2 linked regions of the Oryctolagus cuniculus genome follow. The main gene of each other region encodes a partner of the protein of the gene in region 2 in a complex. Links are inferred from orthologs where the notes say so. Each region holds a gene or a part of one and is shown on either strand. Other genes may lie near its edges. The genes, in order: PDCD10 and STRN3.

What was found.
Region 1: STRN3 (region 2) and PDCD10 share a complex: the UniProt entries of both Homo sapiens proteins name them as parts of the core of STRIPAK complex. The link is inferred for Oryctolagus cuniculus from reciprocal best matches to the Homo sapiens genes STRN3 and PDCD10.

What each region holds. Positions count from the first base shown.
Region 1 is NC_091435.1:112,788,210-112,792,593, reverse strand, and holds the start of PDCD10 (programmed cell death protein 10), read right to left. Parts: upstream 2,957-4,384; 5' UTR 2,777-2,956; intron 2,566-2,776; exon of another isoform or gene 2,007-2,565; intron 1-2,006. UniProt on the Homo sapiens protein: Promotes cell proliferation. Modulates apoptotic pathways. Increases mitogen-activated protein kinase activity and STK26 activity. Important for cell migration, and for normal structure and assembly of the Golgi complex.
Region 2 is NC_091443.1:44,334,434-44,338,809, reverse strand, and holds the start of STRN3 (striatin-3), read right to left. Parts: upstream 2,903-4,376; 5' UTR 2,516-2,902; coding exon 2,234-2,515; intron 2,230-2,233; exon of another isoform or gene 2,187-2,229; intron 2,114-2,186; exon of another isoform or gene 1,882-2,113; intron 1,624-1,881; exon of another isoform or gene 1,467-1,623; intron 1-1,466. UniProt on the Homo sapiens protein: Calmodulin-binding scaffolding protein which is the center of the striatin-interacting phosphatase and kinase (STRIPAK) complexes.

The sequences.
Region 1 (4,384 bases), on a different chromosome or scaffold from region 2:
CCATCTACTGAGACTACAGTGATAAATACAACATGGCCTCTCTTCTTCTATTTGTAAACCCCAAAATGAGAACAAATGTGGATAACAGTAAAGTGCACACAGATGCACACATCACTCTGTGAACTCTCTTAATTATCCAATATGCAAATGATCACTGTACTCAAGCATGTGGCCGGAAGATGATAAATGTAAGAGAAACATTCCAATGACATTCCAGCAGAGGTGAAATATCAAAACTGAAATGAATCTCAGAGATAAAGAAAAATTCATGGTAAACTGAACCAAGAACAAAAACTGATATATGCTGAACAAGTAGATTATATTAACTTCACTTATTTCCAAAATTTCTCTAGTTCAAAAACTCTTTTCATAACCACACAGCTGCATGCCAAAAGTCAGAACTCATTTCACACCGTGCCCAACAAAAGCAAATATTTACACTGCCATCTAGAAAATGTATTAACATTCTTGCTTACCACCACTTACTAATGCATCTATGGTCTACTTAAACTACTTCACCTTTCTAATTTGACACAAAGCCAGTTAACTCCACACAATTTTCCACCTGTTTGGTTGACTCTTCCTTACAGGTGCACTATTTTGCTTATGGTGCTTATTATTCTCGATTTCACTTGATTCTATACTATCATACCTCTCCTTCCATTTTAAAGTTGTATCAATTTCCAGACCATCTTAACTTCCATAATATGGGAATATGATACATTTGATCCTAGAAAATACTGCTGCATTTAAAAATTACACACATTTAATATTAATATTTATAGTGTGTTCAAAATACAATGTATTTCAATGGTCAACTTAGATAACAATAAACCATGACAGATGATTGCCAACTGCAAATAGATTATTTATGAATATAAACTTAATGTGAAAAAATCCTGACATCAATGAACATATTCCCACATTTCTATTAAAAAAAAAAAACTATTCAGTATTAATACTGAGGAGCTGTCCTGGGTCGTAACAATTACAGGAGATAAGACTGGGAGAGGTGCATTAGTTTCTACTCCATATGAAATGTGTCCTGCTTTTCCATTCTTTAATACAAACTAAGAATGAATTAAAAGTCACAGATAGGGGCTGGCACTGTAGCGCTGCAGATTAAAGCCCTGGCCTGAAGCGCCAGCAGCCCATACGGGTGCCAGTTCTGGTTCCAGCTGCTCCACTTCTAATCCAGCTCTCTGCTATGGCCTGGGATAGCAGTAGAAGATGGCCCAAGTCCTTGGGCCCCTACACCCACGTGGGAGACCTGAAGGAAGCTCCTGGCTTCAGATCAGCACAGCTCCAGCGGTTGTGGCCATCTGGGGAGTGAACTGTTGGATGGAAGACCTCTCTCTCTGTCTCTACCTCTCTGTGTAATTCTTTCAAATAAATAAAAATAAATCTTTAAAAAAATTTAAAAAGTCACAGATGATGCTGAGAAAATTAAAATATGTAAGAGCCTCATTCTTTTATTTACACACACACACAGAATCAAAGAGGGGAGAAGCAAATGAATCACAAAAATATGTTACCTCCAAGAAATGCAATGTTATCTTCTTTTCTAGTAATGAGCACACTAAACTCTCCTTAATGTTGCATTATTTGAAACAAAAAAAAAGTGCACAGTAAGTTTTGTTAAAGAATTCCATCCCCACTGTTCTCAGTTTTACAACATGAGAGTGGAAAAACCACCTAAGGCAGGAAGGGAAAGGAATATATCCTTTTCACAGTAAGGATGGAATACACTGTTTAAATGACTTTCTCCTATTTCACTATCTACTTTTAAAAATGGACTGTGGGAGAAGTCGATCGTTAATATAGCCCCAATAAAGGACAAAATACGTAACTGATACTGATCCTTTTTATTTTTCAAAAAGGTCAGAGAAAGTGCTTCAGTGAGGAATTTCACCCCAGTTTAGAAAAAAAAAAAAGAGAGAGAGAGAGAGAGGGAAAAAAAAGTCACCCTTCAATCACTCATAGCTTCTTAGAAATCCATAAAATACCATTACTGTGTCACTTCCTCCACCTTCCTCAAGAAACACGGCCCGTCTCCGCACTTTGTGACTCCGCCGGCATCTCTGTCCTGTTCAGGACCAAGTCCCTGCCTGTGTGACCTTGGGCACGTCATTTACTCCCTCAATTTCTTCAACAGCATCCTGACGGGAAAGCTCTTCGAAAGCAGTTCCAGCCGTAAACAAACCTATCTTGGGTATCACACCCTCAACAGGGTCGAGCGGTTCTGCTCAGGGACCCCATCTCAAAACACTCAGAATCCGCCGATCTGTCAACATCTGACTCTTCCTACTCCGTTCTCCTTTTCCTTCAAAGGGCATAACCCCAGTCACCCCGGAGCGAAGACTTCCAAGCAACCCCTCCTTCCCCAGCCACACTTACGAAGCAAGGGGGAAACAGCAGCCTTACCTCTCCCGCCCCAAGCCACACCTTCGGAGGACCCCACCCCAGGCACATCCGCCCTCTCTCCTCTCGGGGGGAACCAGAGGCCAACCTCGCCCTTCCCCTCCGCCCCCACCTAGAGCACACTTCCTGGAGGCGTCCAGGCCCGAGCGGGGCGGGCAGGCGGCATTTACAAACCCGCTTTACGCCACTCGCGTAGGGTAACCTCGCTTACGCCCATAGGGCCCCGCTCCCAGCCCCGTCCGCTCCGCCAGCCAGTACCAAGCCCGAGTGCCTCAGCCCCGGCCCCTGTGTGACCCCAGACCTCTTCCACCGCGCGCGGAGACACGGGGATAGGGGCAGAACACCCGCACCTTACCGGCAACTGAGGCACTGACTTCACTTCCCACCTTTGGAGCCCTCTTCAACTCCCGGATCAATTCACTCCGGCGACGCCGGAAGGACCCGAGAGGAACCAGGCGTTGTCCGGAATCCTGCCCAGCCGGAGAGGCGCAGTGGCCTATGGGGACTCGTAGTCTCGCTCGCCGGCGTCGTCTGCAATTCCTGCGCTCCTAGGACTACACTTCCCGGCAGGCCATACGGCAGAGCCTAAGGCGATGGGTGGGGACACTCGTAGCCAATAGTAGGAGAGTTCCCGGCCTTTGCGGGAGGAGGTGAGAGGGAGAGAGAGGGTGCAAGGCTAGGGGAGGAAGGGCGGGGCCGGCTCTCACCTGCGCCAATCAGGGTGCAGGGTCGGCCCCGTAGGCGCCTCACCCAAGGAGGGGGCGGGCTGCCGGAGGAGAAGACGGAAGCGGGTGGGGGGGCCCGAGGTAGGGAACGTGGGGCCGGTGGAATGGGTCTGCAGCGCGGGCAGAGAGGGAGCCTGGAGTGCAGGGAGTGCGGGGACGCTCCGCGGCCGGGATAAGCAGCTCCGCCAAGCCCCAGACCCGCAGGTTGGGGAGCGATGGGCTGAGCCTGGGCTACCTGCGGAGGCGCCAGGGCGCGGCAAGGGAACAAGTCCAGGTGTGAGAGCGGGGAGAGGGTGGGAGGAAAGGGGGACCCCCGGTACGAGGGAAGCGGCTGGAGCAGCTTCCAAAGTGCAGGGAGCGGGCAGGGACCCGGGCGGCAGCAGCAGGAACAGCAGGGGGAGGAGCAACAGCTGCCCAGTTCGCCAACTGGAGGAGGGAGAGGCGGAGCTTGGGTCCCGGTGGAAGCCGAAGGCGCAGCCTGGACCGTAGTTTCCCGGGAGAGACCCGAGCAGGAGCGGGAGCTGAGCGGAGTGCAGTCCCTTCGAGCCTCAGCTCCAGCCGTCCGCCGAGGGTGGCAGGTGTGCGGGAGGTAAGCGTGGGCGCGTTTTCCGGGGCGTCCGCACACTGCCCGGGAGGAAGCGTCTTTGCACAGCAGTTGCAGCAGGGCACAGCTCAGACCGTCTGCCTTCGGCTGGAAAAACCGGGGCAAACCCTTTCGGGTGAAAGATGCACATTTTTGGACTTTGAGGAGGAAAAAAAAAAAAAAAAGAAAGAAAGGTCGCTTGACCCTGGGTATAAAGGGTGTGGTTGGTGTTTTTGGTTTGAGTTGCACGATTCAAACTGTTGTGGGAGGTCTCAAGATTGAGGGAACCCCTACTGATTGAGGACCGGGTGGACGGTATTCTGGATCGGTACGTAGCTGATGAAAAGCAAACGTCTCGTCGTTGATACAGAATTACTTCCGAACTGTATCCCTAGAAAATAACTTTGCGTTCTTCTTCAGCGTCTGCGGGTACGTTGGATGCTGAGATTGTCCGCTGCGGACCTGTTATCCAAGGTGGTTGTAATGCAGGTCCGTAGAATTCCGAGATCTGTATTAAGCTAATGCAGTCAGGAACAGCGGGATAGGATGGGTGCTCCCTGAACCTGTGGGAAGTATAACTTTTGCCAGTAATAGTGTAAAAATGTGTTTTAGTGGATGGGCACTTAGCTTTCCTTCCAGCGACTCTGGAATATTG
Region 2 (4,376 bases):
AGAACTACTGTATTAGTAGCTGATCAATTTCAAGCCAGGGAGCAAAAGCAATCTTCCTTAAAGGACTTTTCTGTTGCTGCTAAGGAGAAGAGAACTGGAAGGAAAAACAAGAGCTAGGGCAGGCAATATAGACTTCATACCAGTAAAACTTTTCCTCAGCTACGTAACATGAAGGAAGCTTATGAGTAACAAGTACAACTGTTAACTTGCAAAGTGTTAAAATCAAAGCTTGTGTACAACAAAGGTCAAAAAATCATCATGGACCAGTGGCATATAATTTAGTTGAGTCCAAGCCTCAGTGCGATTTTTTAAGATAATTGTTTTTACTAGCTTCACTCTACTTACACAGAAAATTAAGTTCCCAGCACAGTGTAGCTATACACCAACAGAACTCTACAAATCTCAGTATTTTAGAGAAGGCTGCACCCAAGTTAAAAGAAATCACAGACCTCAGCTTTTTGAAAGTTGTATTTTTAAAGCCCTATAGTATAGCACAGCACAGTTCTAAAACACAACAGGTGTAAACTTGTAAATTTTTTGAAACTTGATAAAGTATCAAAATATGTAAATATTTTAACTTTTTAAAGACGTTTAACTTCACCCACTTAGTGGAATCATTGGTTCACTAGTTCAAAAATCAAACTGAAGAGATTCACATTTGTTTGAGGACACCCTTTCTATGTAATCCAATCTTCCTTCAACACTGTTTTCCTAACTATATGCACCATAGGCATATATGACGAGGCACAACACCGCTTGCATCCTAAATATATTAACAGCCTGAAGAACAGGTGCAACACTATTTAGATACATGTTTTTCCTCTAGACCTAAATCTGCCCTAGAAAGGGGCTTAAACACAACTATTCAAAAAAGTTAAGCCGGCGCCGTGGCTCAATAGGCTAATCCTCCACCTTGCGGCGCCGGCACACCGGGTTCTAGTCCCGGTTGGGGCGCCGGATTCTGTCCCGGTTGCCCCTCTTCCAGGCCAGCTCTCTGCTATGGCCAGGGAGTGCAGTGGAGGATGGCCCAGGTGCTTGGGCCCTGCACCCCATGGGAGACCAGGAAAAGCACCTGGCTCCTGGCTCCTGCCAGGATCAGCGCGGTGCGCCGGCTGCAGCGGCGGCCATTGGAGGGTGAACCAGCGGCAAAGGAAGACCTTTCTCTCTCTGTCTCTCTCACTGTCCACTCTGCCTGTCAAAAAAAAAAAAAAAAAAAAAAAAAAAAAAAAGTTAAATAACCCTTTCAAAAACGTGCAACAATTTTGAAAGGCAAGACAGGAGCCCCCAGCTACCAGTATCTTCCAAAAGCTAGATAACGCGGACTATCCAAGGGTCACAGTAAGAGGAAGGATCCTCAGGACATTTAAGCCGGCTTCTCCTGCATGAGTCAGTAATGTCAGAGAAGTACGCTTTACTTCAAGTAAAAATGTTCAGTCTTCTCAGCCGTTTCCGAAATCCAGCAGCTTAGTTTGGTTTGGCTTTCTAGCGGTCATCTCGGGGCTGAGAGGGGGAGGTCTAGCGAAAGGTACTCTGAAAAGTCAAGTCCGGTGTTCAAAGCGTTGATGAGTCACTAAGTAAGGAAGAACTACAGAGAAGCCAAGGGAGAGTAAAGCAGCATCCCAGGTAAGAAAGTACTGAGGAGTAGACGGTGGGAAACGGAAACTTCACAGGTCAGCCGCCAGCCACTGTGCTTGGCGGCAGTCCGAGGAAGAAGCGTGCCTGTCAAGGGGCAAGTGCCCACCAAGTCGCGGGAAGGGGCCACCCAAGTCAAATGGGAAGGGGTGGGGGTGTCCGGAAAAAGGTGGGAAGATGCTCACCCCGGCCCTCTCCTCGGGGTCGCAACCTCAAGAGGAACAAACAAGAGCAAACTCGGGGTCCAGAGGCCCCACGCCGGACTCTCCGGCACAGAGGAGATCGGCCTCAAGTCCCGGAGGCCCGGGCAGGCCGCCTCCGGAGGAGCCCCCGCAGACGCCATACTAAAAGCCAAAATGGCTGCCCCGAGCGAGCCCGTACCGCGTAGCTAAGTGAGGGTTGGGGAACGGGCTTCTGCGGGAAAGGGGGAGGGGGACCTAGGAAGAGCCGACGCCAGGACCAGCACCCCCGAGCCGCACAGGTAGGTGCCTCCCGGCCTCCCAAGTCGCGGGCGCCGGCGGAGGAGAGCCCCGGCCCCACCCCCCGGCCGGGATCCCCGCCGCCGCCGCCGCCGTCCCGCACACCGACCCCAGCGAGGTACCTGCAGTTCGGCCCGCTCCACCTCCCAGTGCGCTCGCTCCATCTCGAACCGAGCCCACTCGTGCTGGATGTAGTGCAGGATCCCCGGGATAGTGTACTGCTGCGGCCGGGACAGCTCGGGGCCTGCCGCGGGACCCGCTCCCTCCGAGGCCGTTGGACCCCCGCCGCCCGCCGCTCCATTCCCTCCCGGCGAGAGGCTCAGGTTCCCCCCAGGTCCCTGCTGCTGCCGGGGAGGGGCCGCCATCCCCGGGCCTCCACCACCGCCTCCGGCAAGCTCGTCCATTGTGTGAGGGGCCCCGGCCGGGGCACAGGGCGAGACGCCGACTGCCGGGGGAAGGGCCGGAGAGGGTGGCACCGCGCTGGCGGCGGGGCGGAGGCCGCCGGGAGAGGGGCGGGGAGGGGGTCGTTGCTGTGTGCCTGCCGTGGGTCAGAGCAGGGAGCTGCCGGCCGCCGCCATTACAGTCCCTCCTCCATCTGCCGGTCTCACTCACTCACTTTAGGGGAAGGGGGGGCCGCGGCGGGCGGGGGGAAAGGAGGCAGGGTTGGAAAAGGGATCGACGTAGGATCGCCGCTCCCGCACGGCATGCCGGGTATAGAACGCCGCTGCCGCCGCACGCTTAATGGCCAAATAGAGTGCGGCCTCACCCTACGCAGGCGCACTGAGGACGCCGTCCGGCCGCGGAGAGGCGGCTGTTAGGGGGCGGGGAAGGAGCGCGGCTCCTCCCCCAGGCCCGCCCTCAGACCCGTGCCGAGTGTCCCGACGCGGGTTACCGCAAAGCTGGGGCTCCAGCTCCCACTTTTGGGAGCCAGTTGGGCCTTGAACGAGAGACTGTCAGTTTCCTGTTCGTAGACCGAGCCCGGGAGCCGTTACCCAGCCCGAGGGTCTCAGCCATGTGCCTGCCTTCGGAGCTGGGTTTGAACTTGGTTGATCGCTCTGGCCGGTTGCTGCCCACCCTGAATTCCTGACGTTTCTGTTGCATTCTTTGCGTGTTTCAGGCGGTCCCACAGGGTTGGGGCTCTTTCTCTGCCTGTCACTCGCTCTGTCTCCGGTTTCTGAGCGCCAGTCAGTTCCCGGGATTGGGGGACGTTCTCTTTCTGGCAGATCGCCCGGATCTTCGCGGCCGTGGTGACTGGCTGCCCGAGTCGGTCCCGCTTCTGGGCGCCGGGTCGCCTGCCGACCTGTTACACTTTGCCTCCCATCCTGGGACGGGCGTGTTTCAGCGGGTGGGGAGGGGAGCTGGAAACGGTCGTTTTCTTTCTTTTTTTCCCCCCTTGGGAGAAGAGGAGGTAGTGAGATCCTTTGGATTTTGACGATGGTGACTAGAAAGGAAAAGATAACTTTGAAGGAGATGGGTTACGTTTTAGAACTGAATGAGCTCGCAAGAACTTTCATTAATGATAGAATCTTTTGATCTAAATAGAAGATAAAAGCAGCATGAATATAGTTTAAAATCCTGGGTGGACGGCTAAAGATGTTTTCCTGGGTCATTAAATGTTTGAATGAATATAATATACACATAAAAGGTAAGTGTGTATAAGGACAGTCGTGTAATTTTTACGTGCTTAGTTTCCCAGGAAATATCCTAACGAACTAGTAACTTTCCAATCGTTAATACAGCTAGTGATCGTTTGTTGAAAAAAGGACAAAGATACTCTAACAGCATATAAAGAAAAGAGGGTCAGTAATTACAGTCATACAGGGAAACTGGGTGTACAATTAGTTGCATCTCTAAAATGTTTTTTCTTGTAAAAAACTAACAAAAGTTTCACTATGGGATGCACCATTTGGCTTGCGATTTCAAAGAGATAAAGTGGTAGATCATTTGCCTTGTTACTATAGTTTAATGGAAAACAGCTTAGACGTAACTACCCATGCTGCCATATTTTATATATGCATAAAGTGAGATCTTAGATTGTAGTAATATTAAGAACTATTTGTCCATATTATTAAATACAATTGTTTTCATTTTAAAGTGACGGGATAGAACCTCTTTATTCAGTCCTATTCCTTGGGGGAGATGTGGCTCCTATCACAGAAAGTTCAGGAGTACCACCATGCTGCATGGAGTACCCCTGCCTTGCTGAGCCTCTCTTAGCAACTGTGTACCCTGTGATAGTATGACTGACTAGGAGCTACTTGTATT